Linked DNA regions of Lepisosteus oculatus. The protein of the gene in region 1 interacts with the protein of each later gene in a pairwise test. Links are inferred from orthologs where the notes say so. Each region holds a gene or a part of one and is shown in the gene's direction. Other genes may lie near its edges.

Evidence for each region.
Region 2: the proteins of disc1 (region 1) and dmd interact in a two-hybrid assay, tested with the Homo sapiens proteins (2 studies listed by BioGRID and IntAct). The link is inferred for Lepisosteus oculatus from reciprocal best matches to the Homo sapiens genes DISC1 and DMD.

The regions. Positions count from the first base shown.
Region 1 is NC_090712.1:5,086,796-5,093,905, forward strand, and holds the start of disc1 (disrupted in schizophrenia 1 protein), read left to right. Parts: upstream 1-4,006; 5' UTR 4,007-4,671; coding exon 4,672-4,780; intron 4,781-7,110. UniProt on the Homo sapiens protein: Involved in the regulation of multiple aspects of embryonic and adult neurogenesis. Required for neural progenitor proliferation in the ventrical/subventrical zone during embryonic brain development and in the adult dentate gyrus of the hippocampus.
Region 2 is NC_090710.1:29,679,199-29,687,046, forward strand, and holds the start of dmd (dystrophin), read left to right. Parts: upstream 1-4,745; 5' UTR 4,746-4,763; coding exon 4,764-4,860; intron 4,861-7,848. UniProt on the Homo sapiens protein: Anchors the extracellular matrix to the cytoskeleton via F-actin. Ligand for dystroglycan.

The DNA.
Region 1 (7,110 bases):
GACAGCATGAAGGCTGTAAGTGCACCCAAGTGTTGAAAATCATAAAAGGCAATGACAGAGTTAATCCCCATGGATTGGAAGTTACTGGTCACGGGAAAGAAGGTGTCATAGAACTTGGAACAAGAAGCCCTTTTTGTGGGTGTCTGAACATGCTGGTTTGCTGTGTTGAAGCCATGTTCCTAGGGAGCCTTCAAGAAACAGCAGGATGGGATACTTGCATCAATGAGCTACTTACAGCCAAAGGCAGTGAGTGAGTTGAATGGTCTGCTCTTCGGTGTAACCATTTTAGTTTGTTGCTGATCTTGACTGACTTTATTCTCTAATTGCCAAAATGTCAAGGAGCAGCTTTCTCTCTTACAAGTGAATACAGCAGTAAGCTTCCATGTGTATGATAGTCACAAGTGTTTCCTTAAAAAATGCGGTGAGTTAGATTAAAAACTAGCGCCCATTCACTTGCCAATTCACAAGGTCAGGCACAGATCAAATATCTATGCCTCACAAAATATCATGCTGTATGTGTAATATAAACGTTCAAACCTTTGCTTAAAAACAGCACCATGCAATACTCCAAACTCAGAGCAAAAGCTTAATGCTTAGCAAATAAGGTAGCTAATGAATGGGTTAACCTAGCCATAGCAATAAACATGTGTTTGAGCCTGGTCAGTACCTGGATGGGAGACCTCCTGGGAAAAACTAAGGTTGCTGCTGGAAGAGGTGTTAGTGGGGCCAGCAGGGGGCGCTCACCCTGTGGTCTATGTGGGTCCTAATGCCCCAGTATAGTGACGGGGACACTATACTGTAAACAGGTGCTGGATGAGACGTAAAACCGAGGTCCAGACTCTCTGTGGTCATTAAAAATCCCAGGGTGTTTCTCAAAAAGAGTAGGGGTCTAACCCCAGCGTCCTGGCCAAATTTCCAATTGGCCTTTACCAACCATGGCCTCCTAATAATCCCCCTCTATGAATTGGCTACATTACTCTGCTCTCCTCCCCACTGGTAGCTGATGTGTGGGGAGCGTTCTGGTGCACTATGGCTGCTGTCGCATCATCCAGGTGGGGCTGCACATTGGTGGTGGTGGAGGGGAGTCCCCATTACCTGTAAAACGCTTTGAGTGGAGTGTCCAGAAAATTGCTATATAAGTGTAAGCAATTATTATTATTATTATTATTATTATTATTATTATTATGTGCAACTGCAGTAGTAGTGAACATAAACCCGATTTATTAAAAATAACTGCAGTTCAGCATCTTCCCACTAGGTGGCAATGCCGAGCTACGGTTGAACTTTTTCACTTTTGCTGGTTATCTGCGGGGAGACACATCTTCCTCAGTGGCGAAAAATGAACCTTCGATAGCGCTGCTGGGTATATTTTGTCTTTAACAGACACTGACATTTTTGTAAAGAGCAAAAGGCACGCACGGTGAAACTGTGATCCCTCCACCACCCTTGCCCTTAACGTGTCTTTATAAACTCGGATTGAAACAAATGTGTGTATGAACCTGCACTTGACCAGACTGAAAGAAAGAGTTAAACGCCTCATTTAATTTAATTATATTCTGTTCCTTGCGACGCAATGAACAACCGAAAGGGACACGACTTCACAGCCGCGGTACAGTTTTGCATCTCCCAGAATGTCAACTGAAAACGTGGCAAAGCATGGCATATTCATAACCTCTAATGCAGTTTCTTTGGCACCCGGTGTATTTTTTATCATTTTGAAACTAGATCTCATTTCCAGTTTCAAGCTTGGCCAGCTGGGGGCCAGTGTGTAACGCCTTCATTTATTCTGCAGCTGAAAGGGTAAATGCCTACATGCCATTCTCACCCGGCTTGGTTTAAAAGGCGATGCTCTCTCACAGAGAGTTCATGTCTACCGAGACAGGAGAGGAGACGGGGAACAAGTGCACCTCTGTTTAGAAGCAGCATGAAAGAACTTGAATTACAGTTCGGCGGAGTGGATACGTCCCCCACCCCGACACTGCGACCATACAGTAGACTTCCAAGCAAAGCTCCGTTTCGCCACAAAATGGCCCGGGCATTCCTTTTGGCTCTGGCTGCCTGGAAGAGCACATTAGAGACAGCGCTGCACAAGCAATGTCTTTTCATCTCCTGTTAGAGGGGCTCTGTTAACTGCAGTACTGATACATTGATATACTATTAATATACTAAGATATGTGGTGGTGTTTGGTAGCAAAAGGTAAGAAAAAACATTATAAGTTAGGCTTTCACATGTTTTTACCTTATCAAATTATTTTAATTCTTAAGAGAGGAAGGGGTTTTGCAGTTTGTGTTTCACTAGAAATGATCAAACCCAAGGCAACACTTTGGGAACAATTTCTTATGCTTTCCCTCTGCTTTTATCAGGTCATTCTTATTTGTAAAACTCGATTCTGCTTACATGTGTGAAGTGCATCATCACAGGGCAGCACATACCTCTCATGTCTGAGCACTGAGCACCTGCTCTGCCACCAGCACTTGAGCGCCTAACCTCTGCAACTTGCAAACACTGAAGTCTTGCTCATACTGTATACTGTAACTCACAACTGGCAACCCAGTGGAGCTCAGCAGGTGTGAGCCTGGTCAGTAACCGGCATAGGAGCCCTCCTGGGAGAAGCTGAGGCTGCCGCTGGAAGAGGTGTTAGTAGGGCCAGCAGGGAGCACTCACCCTGCAGCCTGTGTGGGTCCTAATGCCCCAGTGTAGTGACGGGGACACTATACTGTAAAAAGGCTCCGTCCTTTGGATGAGACGTAAAACCAAGGTCATGACTCTCTGTGGTCATTAAAAATCCCAGGGTGCTTCTCGAAAAGAGTAGGGGTGTATCCTGGATAAATTTCCCATTGGCCCGTATCAATCATGGCCTCCTAATAACCCCCATCTCTGAACTGGCTTCATTACTCTGCTCTCCTCCCCACTGAGAGCTGGTGTGTGGTGAGTGTTCTGGTGCACTATGGCTGCTGTCATCATCCAGGTGGGGCTGCACATTGGTGGTGATGGAGGGGATCCCCATTACCTGTAAAGCACTTTGAGTGGAGTGTCCAGAAGAGCGCTATATAAGTCTAAGAAGATATTATTATTAATTATATAAGGGTCCTTACACACAAGGCCATCTCCACAGTACCTTTGGATAAAAGGGTCAGCTATATACTGTAAATGAACAGTTGCAGTCTAGTCGATTTCAGTTTTCCATTTGGGGGCAATGGAGTATTTAAAAAACAGTTACTTTAGTCTGTTTCACAGAGTTGAGGACGTTGGAGTGGAGTTGCTGCTCCTCTGGATCGAGAGGAGTCAGTTGAGAAGGGCTGGGCATCTGGTGAGGACCCAGGGTGGACCCAGGACAGGCTGGGGGGGGAGGGTTCTCTCAGCTGGTCTGGGAGCTCCTGAGAGTCCCGCAAGAGGACTTGGAGACTGTTGCCGGGGAAAGGAAAGGAAATTCTGGGCTGCCCTGCTCGGCCAGTCATCACAGCAACCCTCAGCAGGAGCAAGGGGCTAGAACATGGGTGGATGGACGTGAAAAGGTCCAGTGGGACTTTTGAAAACCTCTCATGTCTTAATTAGAATCAACTCTGTACCAGATTCTGTGTTTCAGAACTACCTGCGCACAGGTGTGACGTCGGAAATGGAAACGCCTGGACCGCCTGGCAGATGGAAAGCAAAGCTCGCTGAGGGTGTCTGACACAACGTCCGTCTCGCCTGGATCTGTTCATCGGAAACCCATCACCTTCTGGGGGCTGTGCACCGAGAAATAAGGGTTCGCAAATCGAGGAGAGATTGTTTAAAGTCCTGTGGGATGTTTTTGTAGGCCAAACTATCTTAGAAGGGGGGTGGACACACATCATAGGGGGGATTGGAAATTCCTGCCCAACAGGAAGACCACCGCCTTCATGTCCATCGACACCATTTGACACATTTTCCAAATGCAATACAGTTTAGTCTTTAACGGGAAAAAAACACCCGCTTTTGATATTCAGAATGAATGGTGACCATTTAAGTGGCGTCCCAACATAATTTCGTTGTTTAACTCGTTTGCACATCCAGCTAGCGCTTCCCAGTCACCCCAGAGCCGAAGGAGGCGGCTCCGGCACTGCGTGCGGTTTCGGATTTCATCTCACGGCCAGAGGAAACTCCTGGGCTTCACAATGGAGCGCATAACGGCATAAAGCGCCGCGGGCTGTATCTGGAATACGACGGCAGAAAATGTTAGCACGGAACAGAAAGCGCCGAGCCTTTTTTTTCTGCGTAACCCTTGGAAGATTGCGCCGCGCTCCGTAAAAACAAAATCAAACTGGCGAATGTTATTCTTCCCACTGGGAAGTGGCAGGAATTGTCATCAAGCGCTGCCTGGGATTTTGCCTGGTTTAAGGGCAGTGCTGTTAGTGAGCTGCAGGCTGAAGACGAAACACACTAAAGACACGCCGGCGTCTTCTTTTAACGCAGGCCACACAGGGGACACAAAACGCGCAGGAAGCGGTGCGAGTCTTGGAATTTTATTTTTAGGGGAAACACTTTCCCGAGCGGAAATGACTTCAGTGTGATTTTCTTTCTGCAGAGCTCCGCCAGAGAAGGGAATTCCTAGGCAGACTGGAAAGATGTCCGTTTTCACCCGTTCATCGTTTCTGGAAACATAACAGCTTTTGTTGTTTTGTTTTGTTTTTTTGCTCCTTGCAAAAAAAATGTTTACCGGGATGGTGAAGGTAGGGGGCGAAGTCCCCTCCATGCCGATCTCTGACACTGACAGCATCACGCACGTCAGCCACCGGCACCATGCTGGGTTCAGGCCAGGTAATTATTGGCGTTATTTACTATAAAGCGTTGCGAGGTCTAAATCTGTTCAACTGCGTTGCGCTTTATTAAACACGATTGACATCATCGGTGTTTTATGCATGTTCTTCTCTTATGTTATATCTTCTTTGAACGTTAATAGTTTGCGGTTCGATAACTGTAAAATACTGTAGTTTTGTTTTACAATTCAATGTCCGCACCGGTTTTTGAAGCTGTAAAAACTCGGATTTGAACAATGTTGCGAGTTCGATTGATAAACACAAACGCCCCTGAAAACATTTTCACATCTATTCATAGTGTTGGTTGGTTTCAGTTGTATCCAAATGTTTATTTATTTTTGCATCTGTTTTGTGATCACAGTTACCACTACCCGCCTGAGCCAGATTCGTTACAAGAAATTGCACTGCGGCCAACTTTTGAGCGAAACGTCAGCCGAGTTCTGTGAACTGCAAGTTTGCAAGGAGTTTTTTTGGGGAAATTAATCGCGCGTGATGAGCACAAAAACGGCATGACCCAAAATGTTTTTTGAAATGCTGAAACATGTAACACAATATATGATATTTTAGGAAGTCACGCAATGCGTTTATAAAACCTCTGACTGCCCTTAGGTTTTAAAGTAACACATCTAGCCCTGGTTAAAAAAATGAAATTTCCCATGACTGCTGTTTAATTCAAATTTGTAGATGATCGGACGTTAGGCTAACTTTTTTTTTAATAATCTGAAAATTCACACTGCAGGGATTTACATTAGAATTGTGAATTAATCTGTGATCGTCGCATTTCTACAGTTTTTAACTGTAGTACGGGCAAGCAAGCATTTTAGACGTGTCTCCTGAATGACACGCACGCACAGAACGCAGATCTGAGGACAAAGTTGAATTTGAGATGTTACAGCACAGCAAAGCTGCGTGTCCGACGTTCAGTCCAATCAGCTTTCCCAACTCGTCATATCACAGGGAACTCGAGTCCTCAACCCTGATGCAGATACTGTGTGCGCTTTTCCAAGACAGCCTGAAAAGTTTACCCCCGTCTTCAAGATCAGAGATGTTTTCTATTGTTGTTGAATAAACATAGATGCTACTTGCTAGTTTAAAAACAAACGAAGGCCCCGGTGCTAATGTCAGAATTGTTTGTGTATTTATTTATGCATAAAGTCGTCTCTTAACATAAAACCAGTCTATATTAATCCAAACGTCATTGGCCTGAATGACACGATTTTCCAACAAGGGAAGCCATATTTCTAGTAAACCTGAAACTAGTGAGCACATAAAGCAAGCACACGAAAAACAAGGTTTTTCAGATGACCGTTAATAAAGTCTTTGAAGTTTGATCATGTGTGGAGCTTGTTTTTCAAGTTCTCGCTGACATACATACTGTATGAGTCTGAGCAGTGAATCTGCAGTATGTAGCATAAGTAGACACTTCACATTAATCTGACAAAAAGAATTTGAATTCTGTACATTTTGAATTCTCTTTATCAGTTTTTTTAGCTTTGTAATCTTACAGTTTTGGGGTCTGCATTTTCACAGGCAGAAAATCCGATAGAGGCAGTTTTACATAGCATTCTGTATTTTGGAATTATCTGAAGGGAGATTATTGTTAATAGAGAAAAAAAATATTGTGGAGAGACAACAGAAGTCAAATAGAGTACTCTGTACCTCAAGTTGTGATGTTGTGCCTTTATTACAGAAAACAGAAACAGAAACATTAAAATAGTCTGTAATATTGTTCTTAGAAGCTATGAATGGTTTTCTGCTGGTTAAAAAACGAAATTAAAGGTGATGTAGAATAATTCCTCCACAGGAAAAAAAAATGATTTGTTTATTTGCGTTTTATGCTGTATCGGTTTGCCATTAATCTTAGTCTGTCTTTCATTTATGCTTTTTAAAAAGCAAAGAAATGTAAAAACTGTATTATGAAGGCCTTTCGTCACTGTCGTCTGCTGTATCTTACTAGTTTTGACATTTTTATTTCTGTTCAAAGGCCATTAGTCATGTTTTGTTGCCTGAGCAGCCTAGAGATTAAAAATGATTATGGAGGAGAATCGCTTTTGTTTCAGTTACTGGTATTGGACTTCCTTATTTCTTGTTAAATTCTTACTTTCTTAAAATACCCCTTTTCTGTTGCACTTCTTCTTAGAAAAGATTTTGAATTTTCTCATTTATTTATTTATGCCTACAGGCAACGTGCTTGTGATAGCTTTGTGTTTCCACATGACTTAACAGGATGTTTTCTGTATAACTTTCTGTGCTGAGGCGTTTTTGCTGTGCTGTGCTGAGGCCCAGTCGATGAAAGTAAATTACAGGGTTTAATATAGAAACCCCGCTTTA
Region 2 (7,848 bases), on another chromosome or scaffold:
TATGATGATATCATGTATTTCTGTATTTCTTTATTTTTCATTGCAGCTTCGATGAGCACAGGTCCCAGGCATATAGTGCTGCTTCTCAGACCGAAATTACTTAATTTAATATTTTGTTTGCTAAACTGTAATACTTCCAAGTATCCAGATAATGAATCTCTTAGACTTAAAGAAGGCAAAAAGATCCCTAGATTAACGGTAGCACTTTTGCCACTCCAGTTCTAGGGTCATGTGCAATGTATGTGTGACAAACTAAATATTACATTATTAGCAATATAAATGACATGCTAGTGCAATCACCAGTGAAGCTTTCCCTGTAGAGTCTCTTCTTCAAACCTCACCTATCCTTTGCGTCTATTCTTCTGTACTATCATCAGTGGCTAGGGAACCTGCCCTTTGCAACCTGCAGTCAGGTCTTTCATCGGTCTTTTTAGGTGAACTTGATCAGTTTAGCAGTTTGCTTCCAGCTTCTCTCTCATATCTTTTAAGACCAGCTGTTTCTGATAAACTCTCAACGGGCTGCATGGCTCGGCTTATTTGACAAACACACCAGTTGTTGTGAAATACAGTTAGGCCTCAGTTTTTGACAAATATGTTCCTTCGCTATTGGTTTGTATGTAAATATTTAAATGTGCTGCATTTAATAATGCTTAATATAGTATTCATAGTTGTTACATCAGTGCAGTGTTCACAGTGTTTGTTGATTAATCATGGACAGCTATTTTGCATGATATCATTGTTTATTTTTTTTAACCAACCTACACCCCACCCCCCCAACTTTGGAGGACTTCTTTATTTTTATTTTTTTTGTTCACTCTCTCATTTTTGTTCTTATCAGACAATAACAAAAAAATACATGATAGCATTGTTTCAAAATCATTCATTTTTCTTATTTCTGTGATTTATCATTTATACTCCTAATTTTACAAACGCCCTAGTTCTTAGTATACTGCAGTTTATTAATGCAATTGTTGTGAACTATGGTACTATATGTGTGCTTTTCACCATTGGAAATTCATTGATTATTGCAACATTTAGCTCATTATTATTCTGGTAACCTAAGAAATAATGTCAGAATGCTTCACTGAAACAGAACTTCATGATAGCTTATAATTTTACATTTTTAACATACAATATTCTGCCAAACATATATTTCCTGACCAAAAGAATGTTTTATTTGGTATTTCGGGTCCTTGTCATGGTGAAAAATTATTTTAGTCTGCAAGTGTAGAGATGGCACAGAATAGTGATGTTGTATCTGCTTGTGCTTTTCCTTGGCAAGATTTAGATTCTTACTAATTTGATGGCACTTAAAACCAGTCACACCCCAAATTGTCTCAGAAATCTCGTTTCACAACCTTTAGTACAACACTGTTCACCAACAGTTCTTCACAAAAAAAAACTGCTGTCTAGATTTCAGAATTTCAAATTTGAAGATCATGTCTTGAAAACTCCTTTGTAACTTGTTGTAACTTATTCTAGGGGTCTAGATATTGTTGTCTTGGCAACAGACCTTCTATTAAGACCTGTAGCAAGACGTTGCTTTGTAAGAGTGGTCAAAGATAAAACAGCCAAACAAAAGAAGGTGACAATACATGCTACTGCATATGTCACTATCATGAGAATAAATGTCGATTTGTCCTATATAAATGCCATAATCCCCCACCTCTATGAATATTTGCCAAGAGGCTTTATTTAAATGACATTTTTTATTAACTGAATTGCCACTATTTATATTTCTTCATTGCCATTAAACAAAAGGTGCACCAGTTACTGTCAAAGCCATTTAGATATTTTAGTGCATTATTTTACCACAAGGGATTCACAGCCAGAACAAACAGTTAAAGCAAGACCATTTACAGGATATTGTCTCTCGAAGAAGGATGCTCCACTCCAGACCTCCCTTGAGCACCAAGCCACCAAACCGATTGTCTTTGAGACAGGATTTGAAATGTATCTCTTTCTGTAGTTGTGGGCCAGCAAGGGAATTATCCTCAAAGTACACTGCAAAATCCACTTTCTCTGGCAGTTCAGGGAGAGAAAGACAGATCCTAACTTCTGCTCCTCTGGCTGCTGGTTCTGTCAATACAGAAGAATTCCCATTTACTGCTTCATTTGAATTCTACCAGTCATTAATGTCACAGTGTGAGTTGTCTTCATAGGCGTAGTAACTTCATTTAGAAAAGGGTAGTGAAAAAAATGAAGCGGGTTTTAATTTTGTCCTGCAAAATGTTTTTTTTTTTAATGAGGTTCTTTGTTGTTTTTACATTTGCAAATAAGAATGACCGCAAGTGAAGTTCACTGGTAAACCTATGCTTTAATCACTGCAATAAAATCACTGACGTCAAATTATTCCAGTAGTTCCAGTGACAATGATAGATATTGAAAAGAATAGCAGAAGACAGTATATTAGGGCAACGAAACTTAAATCTGTCTGTATCTAAATCAGACATACAGACAGAGATGAAAAAGCAGTAGAAAAGTAATGAAGCTATCTCCAAATTTTAATAGATAAAAAAAGAGGCAAAAAAAGAATTGATTAAATAAATCAGTTTAATCAGTTTAACGAGGACATTTCCAGTGTCCTGGAAATGTGTATAACTATAGGACAGCTTAAATGAGACGCCTTTCAGTTTGCGAGCTGCTAAAATATTTCTGACTTTTTAAAGAAAACAATGTACTTTAGAAAAAGGCTTTGTTTTTGTGCTCTTTTTTGTGCAGAGTTTTGCCATTTTTAGAGCAAACTTAAGAGGATCAGCAATTTTGTGCATTCTGCGCTGATTGAAATGCAGTGCAAAACTGATTGGATATCATTGTTGCATACTTGCCTCCCTGTTATTTTATTGGCTTTAAAAGCTTCTTTCTTCATGTTGAAAGGTTCTAAATTTATGAGAAGGTGTATATTAACAGGGTCAGACAAATCGCTGAACGATTCAATCAGATTGAATGAATGCAGTATTGAGCTGCTTCTAGACCCTATTCTAAAGGGATTCAAAAATAATATATTGGTGTTTTGGCACACATACAGTATAACAACATGATATACTGATGTCTAGTCACTACTGGTGCCTTGATTTTAGCATTGTGTCCTTCCTTGACACTCTTACCAATGGCATTTTTTATTGTGGTTTTAGATTCCATGTTGGGCTTTTCAAATGTTTTACACCTTTGTGCGCATGCATTGTGAAGTCTTTAAAATTATAATATGAATTATGGGCACTTTTTAAAAGTTGTCTAAATTGATTCAGTATAAAGGTTTTCTTTGTAATATTCAAATGTATTTTAAAAGGTTGCAAAATAATTATAAATGTTAAGACAGAAGACATTGCACATCTGGCAGACAAAATAATGGGCACACCTTCTACATCCAAATGCAAATGGAAAACTATATGTACAGCATGGTTTCCTGAACACTGACTTGTAAAAAACAAAGTGTGTTAACCATTTCAGAAAGAAGTATAACAGGGAGCATTTAACTTCAGCTACTGTACGTAAGAGGAACATTTGGAAGCGTTCTTTTAAACGGTGAGCCTGAAAATGTGCTGAGAGAAATGAAGCTAGGCAAATTATATTCAAGAAAGGAGAAAACATACAGTGATAGTTTGTCCATAAGGACTCTTACTGAAGCCTTACTGTGGAGGAGTCTGCAAAAAAGTCTCAATGGACAGAAAAGAACACAAAAGAGTAGTAACGTTAACTACAGTGGCAAAGTCAGGAGTGGAGCAAACATCATAGCTTCCTTGAATGTGAAGCCTCTGATACATGCACAGTTTATCTCCTGCTGGGATTCAATCTTCTGTCTCGTAAGCATCCCCCACCACACAGTGCGCTGACATGCAAACGCATCTGGTCGGTCAAAAGACTGGTCGTATAACTCAGCAGGCTTCCCATAGCTTTCATTCTTTCGGGACAGAAGTGGTTACGTCACTGTGAAAGACTTACACAGGGAAAAAAAAACACGTTGCACCTGCAGAAAAGAGATTTGTGGGTGAGGGGTTTGTATTTTCAGCTTCCTAAATGAAATGCCCACCTGTACTAAACATAAAATACTTCAATCTAAAAGAAGATTAAAAATAAAAAGTGACGCACTAGAATCTACCTGCCCCAAGGTCTATAGAGCAGCAGGTATACGACAAGCTTGACAGGACAATGGAAAACATGACTTCAAACAGCAGTTTTCTAGATGTGTGCTCTGGGAAATCATTGATTGAATGTATGTGTAGCACTGAGCGTGGATATGCAGATAAGAAAAGTTTGTCATAAAATCCCTGCAAAACTAGCCTTCTGCTGCATTTTCTTTTAACCATGGTAAAACTGTTCCTTCAAATCAATTTTTCATGTTAATTCTTCCTATCTTAGAGGAATGGAAGGATAATTCTGACACCTAGAGTGTGTCAGCATGTGCATGTTTAAATAAATTACTATTTTAAAAAATGTATTCCCTTTTCATATATAAAACCAAATATAAAATGTACTGTATATATATATACATCCAGATGTGCATGCAGCCTTGATTTTACTGTAGTAGCTTCAGATGTGTTATAGCAGAAAGGTCTAGGTTACTGCGAGTGATGTATCAGATAAAAAAAGGGTTAGCAGGACACGATCGTGTAGCAGCTGCATAATAAATGATGGAGAGAATCACGTTAGACATGCCCACCTAGCCTAACTTGAAGCAGGAAAGAAGGGAGCTGCTGGAATTCAAATAGACTTTCTGGCTCCCAGCAGTCGGCAGTAATAGAATGCTCTCCGGAAGATGACAGATGCAGGGAAAAGATGCCGTTTTGCACAGCCCAGATTGGTTTCAGCCGCCAACTTATTGGCGTGATGGAGTGAATGGGAAAGCAGCTGGCATGGAAGGTAGGATTACAAACGCCATCACATCGTTATGAATGTAATTAGAAACTGACCATGACAGAGCATATGTTAGAATGCCCTGTGCTTGATGGAAGAGGATTTGTTGCTAGGCACTGAAAGGGGTTGTGTCAGTCAAACTGCCGAAAAAAAAAAAGATTATTTGTTGTCTTTTTTGCTGTGGCTATCTATCAGAATTAGCAGCATGGATCTTTTTTTTTCTCTTGCTCTTCTTCTCCTTGTTTTGAAGACTTAATGTTACAGTCCTCAGTGGGGGAATACCGACTGAAAACAAACCATTGCTGTGAAACAAATCTGCTTTAAAACAGTCATCAACTATTAATAGACTGCATGTAGTTATGAAAAGAACTGGGGAATTAGATTTTGTCAGGTAAGCCAAAAACAACAAAAAAATAAAAACAGTAGTCAGTCTAGCTTTAGAAAGTGGGTTAGAAGGAAAGAAAGAAGCAAAAAAATATTCCCTGTAGAAATTGCCAGAGAGTATTACAACCACTTGGGCTTACTGATAATACCGTGTCTTGTAATGAATCTTTCCTTACTTTATATGATGTTATGAGTGCAGCAATGTGAGTTTATTGCTGCTGGTTCCACTTTGTTTTATTTCACAAATGTTTTTTTTTTATTAATTTATTCCTGAAGAGGTGGGAGTGTACAGTAGCAAAAGAAAAAAAACTCAGAAATGGTCCAGCAGTATTGTTGTAGATAACTGCTGCATCTGTTTCAGCAAACCAAACTGTACTTGCATTTTGCCAACTTGATGCCTCCCCAGCTGCTCTCTGATTTTGTGCTTAATTACTGCTCCTAATTTCCCTATATCAGCTTATTTGTAAAAAAAAAAGCTTTGACATATAGAAATGAGACTTGACAGCTAATTTTGAAGCTGTTTAATATTTGGAAACATGTCTAGTGAAACCTCGGATTTCCTGACTAATGCAAACTGAGACTTTTCCATTGTCCTCAAAGGCTGCATGTTTTTGGCATATCCTCAGCTGTGATCTGCTTCAGGCAAGGTGCAGCTGTGGCATATTTTGCTTTAATAAAAAAAAGCTTTAGAGAATCTGGACAGAGTGAAGCAGAAGTTACGTTAGATTTGGTTTGATGATGATTGTGTGAAACAAATCTGGATCGGCTTAGAAAAACCCCAGCTGTAAGGTTTCAGAGCATTGTGTCGTTCTTGTATTCAGAATGCTACTTTCTGTAGTACGTGAAAATTGTTAGCTTTGTCTTGTAGGATAAATCATCTTAATTGGATAATCTGACAGCTGACCTGAAATTAAATTGAACTAGAAGCAGGTGGTTAGAAAAAGGACAGTTCTAGACTTTTCTGTTGTCGAAACTTGAAAAGAACACAAAATCACAGAACTGCTTCTTGTCTGGGACCTGGTGTCTAACGTAATTTACCTCTCAGCGATTTCGATTTTACTTGGCACACAGATTTATACAAATTCTAGTGCAGTTAGTTAGAAGAAGGTGAAGTTGCCGTATGCTTTCATTTGAGTGACATGGCCCTGTGGAATGGCAGTAAGCGCTGCTGTCTCATAGCTGTTGGGTCCTCAGGCAGTTGTGCGAGGGTTTCTCAGGGTCAGTTTGGCCCCAACACACAATCCAGTTCTCAGCCTTTTAACAGCATGAGACTGGATATAATCCTTCTGCCAGCAGCACACTTAACCCCAGGGATGATTGCAAAGGGGAGGACAGAATCTGCCACCTGTTGCAGGCCCAAGAGGGCAAAGAGGCCTCTGTCCTTGAGATATGGGAGTGACAGTCTCTTTACCCTTCGTGTGAAACCAGACAACCTATCACTTCTCAGGTCCAATGAGAACTATCCAGTCCTTGACCACACTCCACAGTGCAAGCTGATATCTCTTCTCCTGGCTCAGTCGGGAGAGATTTACAGCTTTGCTAACATGGAAAAAAAAAAACTCGCTGTTACACAAAGAACAAAAAATAGGTCTTGACTAGGAGGGGGAAAAAAAGCTGCATGACAACAGACTTTTGATCTTACATTTTTCTGAGAACTATCATGCTTGAATCGACTGGTGGGAGGAAGTGTTATAATAGTGTTACTATTTTGTATTCACTAAATAGTAGAGGTGATAGCCACTGATTGCTCATTCTAATAGGCTGGAGTGTTGCGTACTGTAGGTCTTTGCCCAGAAAATATTGCTTAAAATGTAATGGCAATAACATAGAAATGACTCCTTATTTCCCTTTCAGACATTGTTGTTAAAGAGAAGCAGTCCAGTGTAATTGTATTTTGTACATTCTGAGGAGTGTTGCTTATTTTAATAAGCCATCCATCCATTTTTAGTTACTACTTTATCCTTAGAGGTTTGCAGTGGATCAAAACCCTGTAAGCACAGCATACAAGGCAGGATTATAACCTGGAAAGGACACAAATCCATAATAAGGCTCTCTTGCGAACCAGCAAACAGGGAGCCATTCTGAGATCCCAATTACCCAGACAGTGTGTGCAGTATTTGGACTATGGTAGGCATCTAGAGAAAATCCACAGGCACAAAACAAAACACGCAGGACAAACATGGACAAACACATGAACTCCACCTAGACTGCTCTAAATCCAGGACCATGATGCAGTGCTACCCACTGTACCACCCTGAATTGATAATCACAATAAAATAATTTAATCCCATTACGACTAATGAGAAACGGTTGTGTTGGATCACTTTACTCATTTTATTATTTAATAGATGTGAGTCCTGAATGCAGTATTCTGTAGCATATCGAACAAACTGGGACAGGAATCTATGTTAGATGATGCTGCCTTGTCCTGGAACCTTTTGTTAGAAAGTCTTAGCTTGAAACAAAAGAGTGATTACATGGAAAACGTAATTATTCTTAATCTGCAGCATCATCTTATAAATATTAATACACTAATCTTAAAGCATACAAAGCTTGGTAGAATTTTAGAATATAAAGCTTGCATTTTAAAGCCTATTAAACTGGGACTTT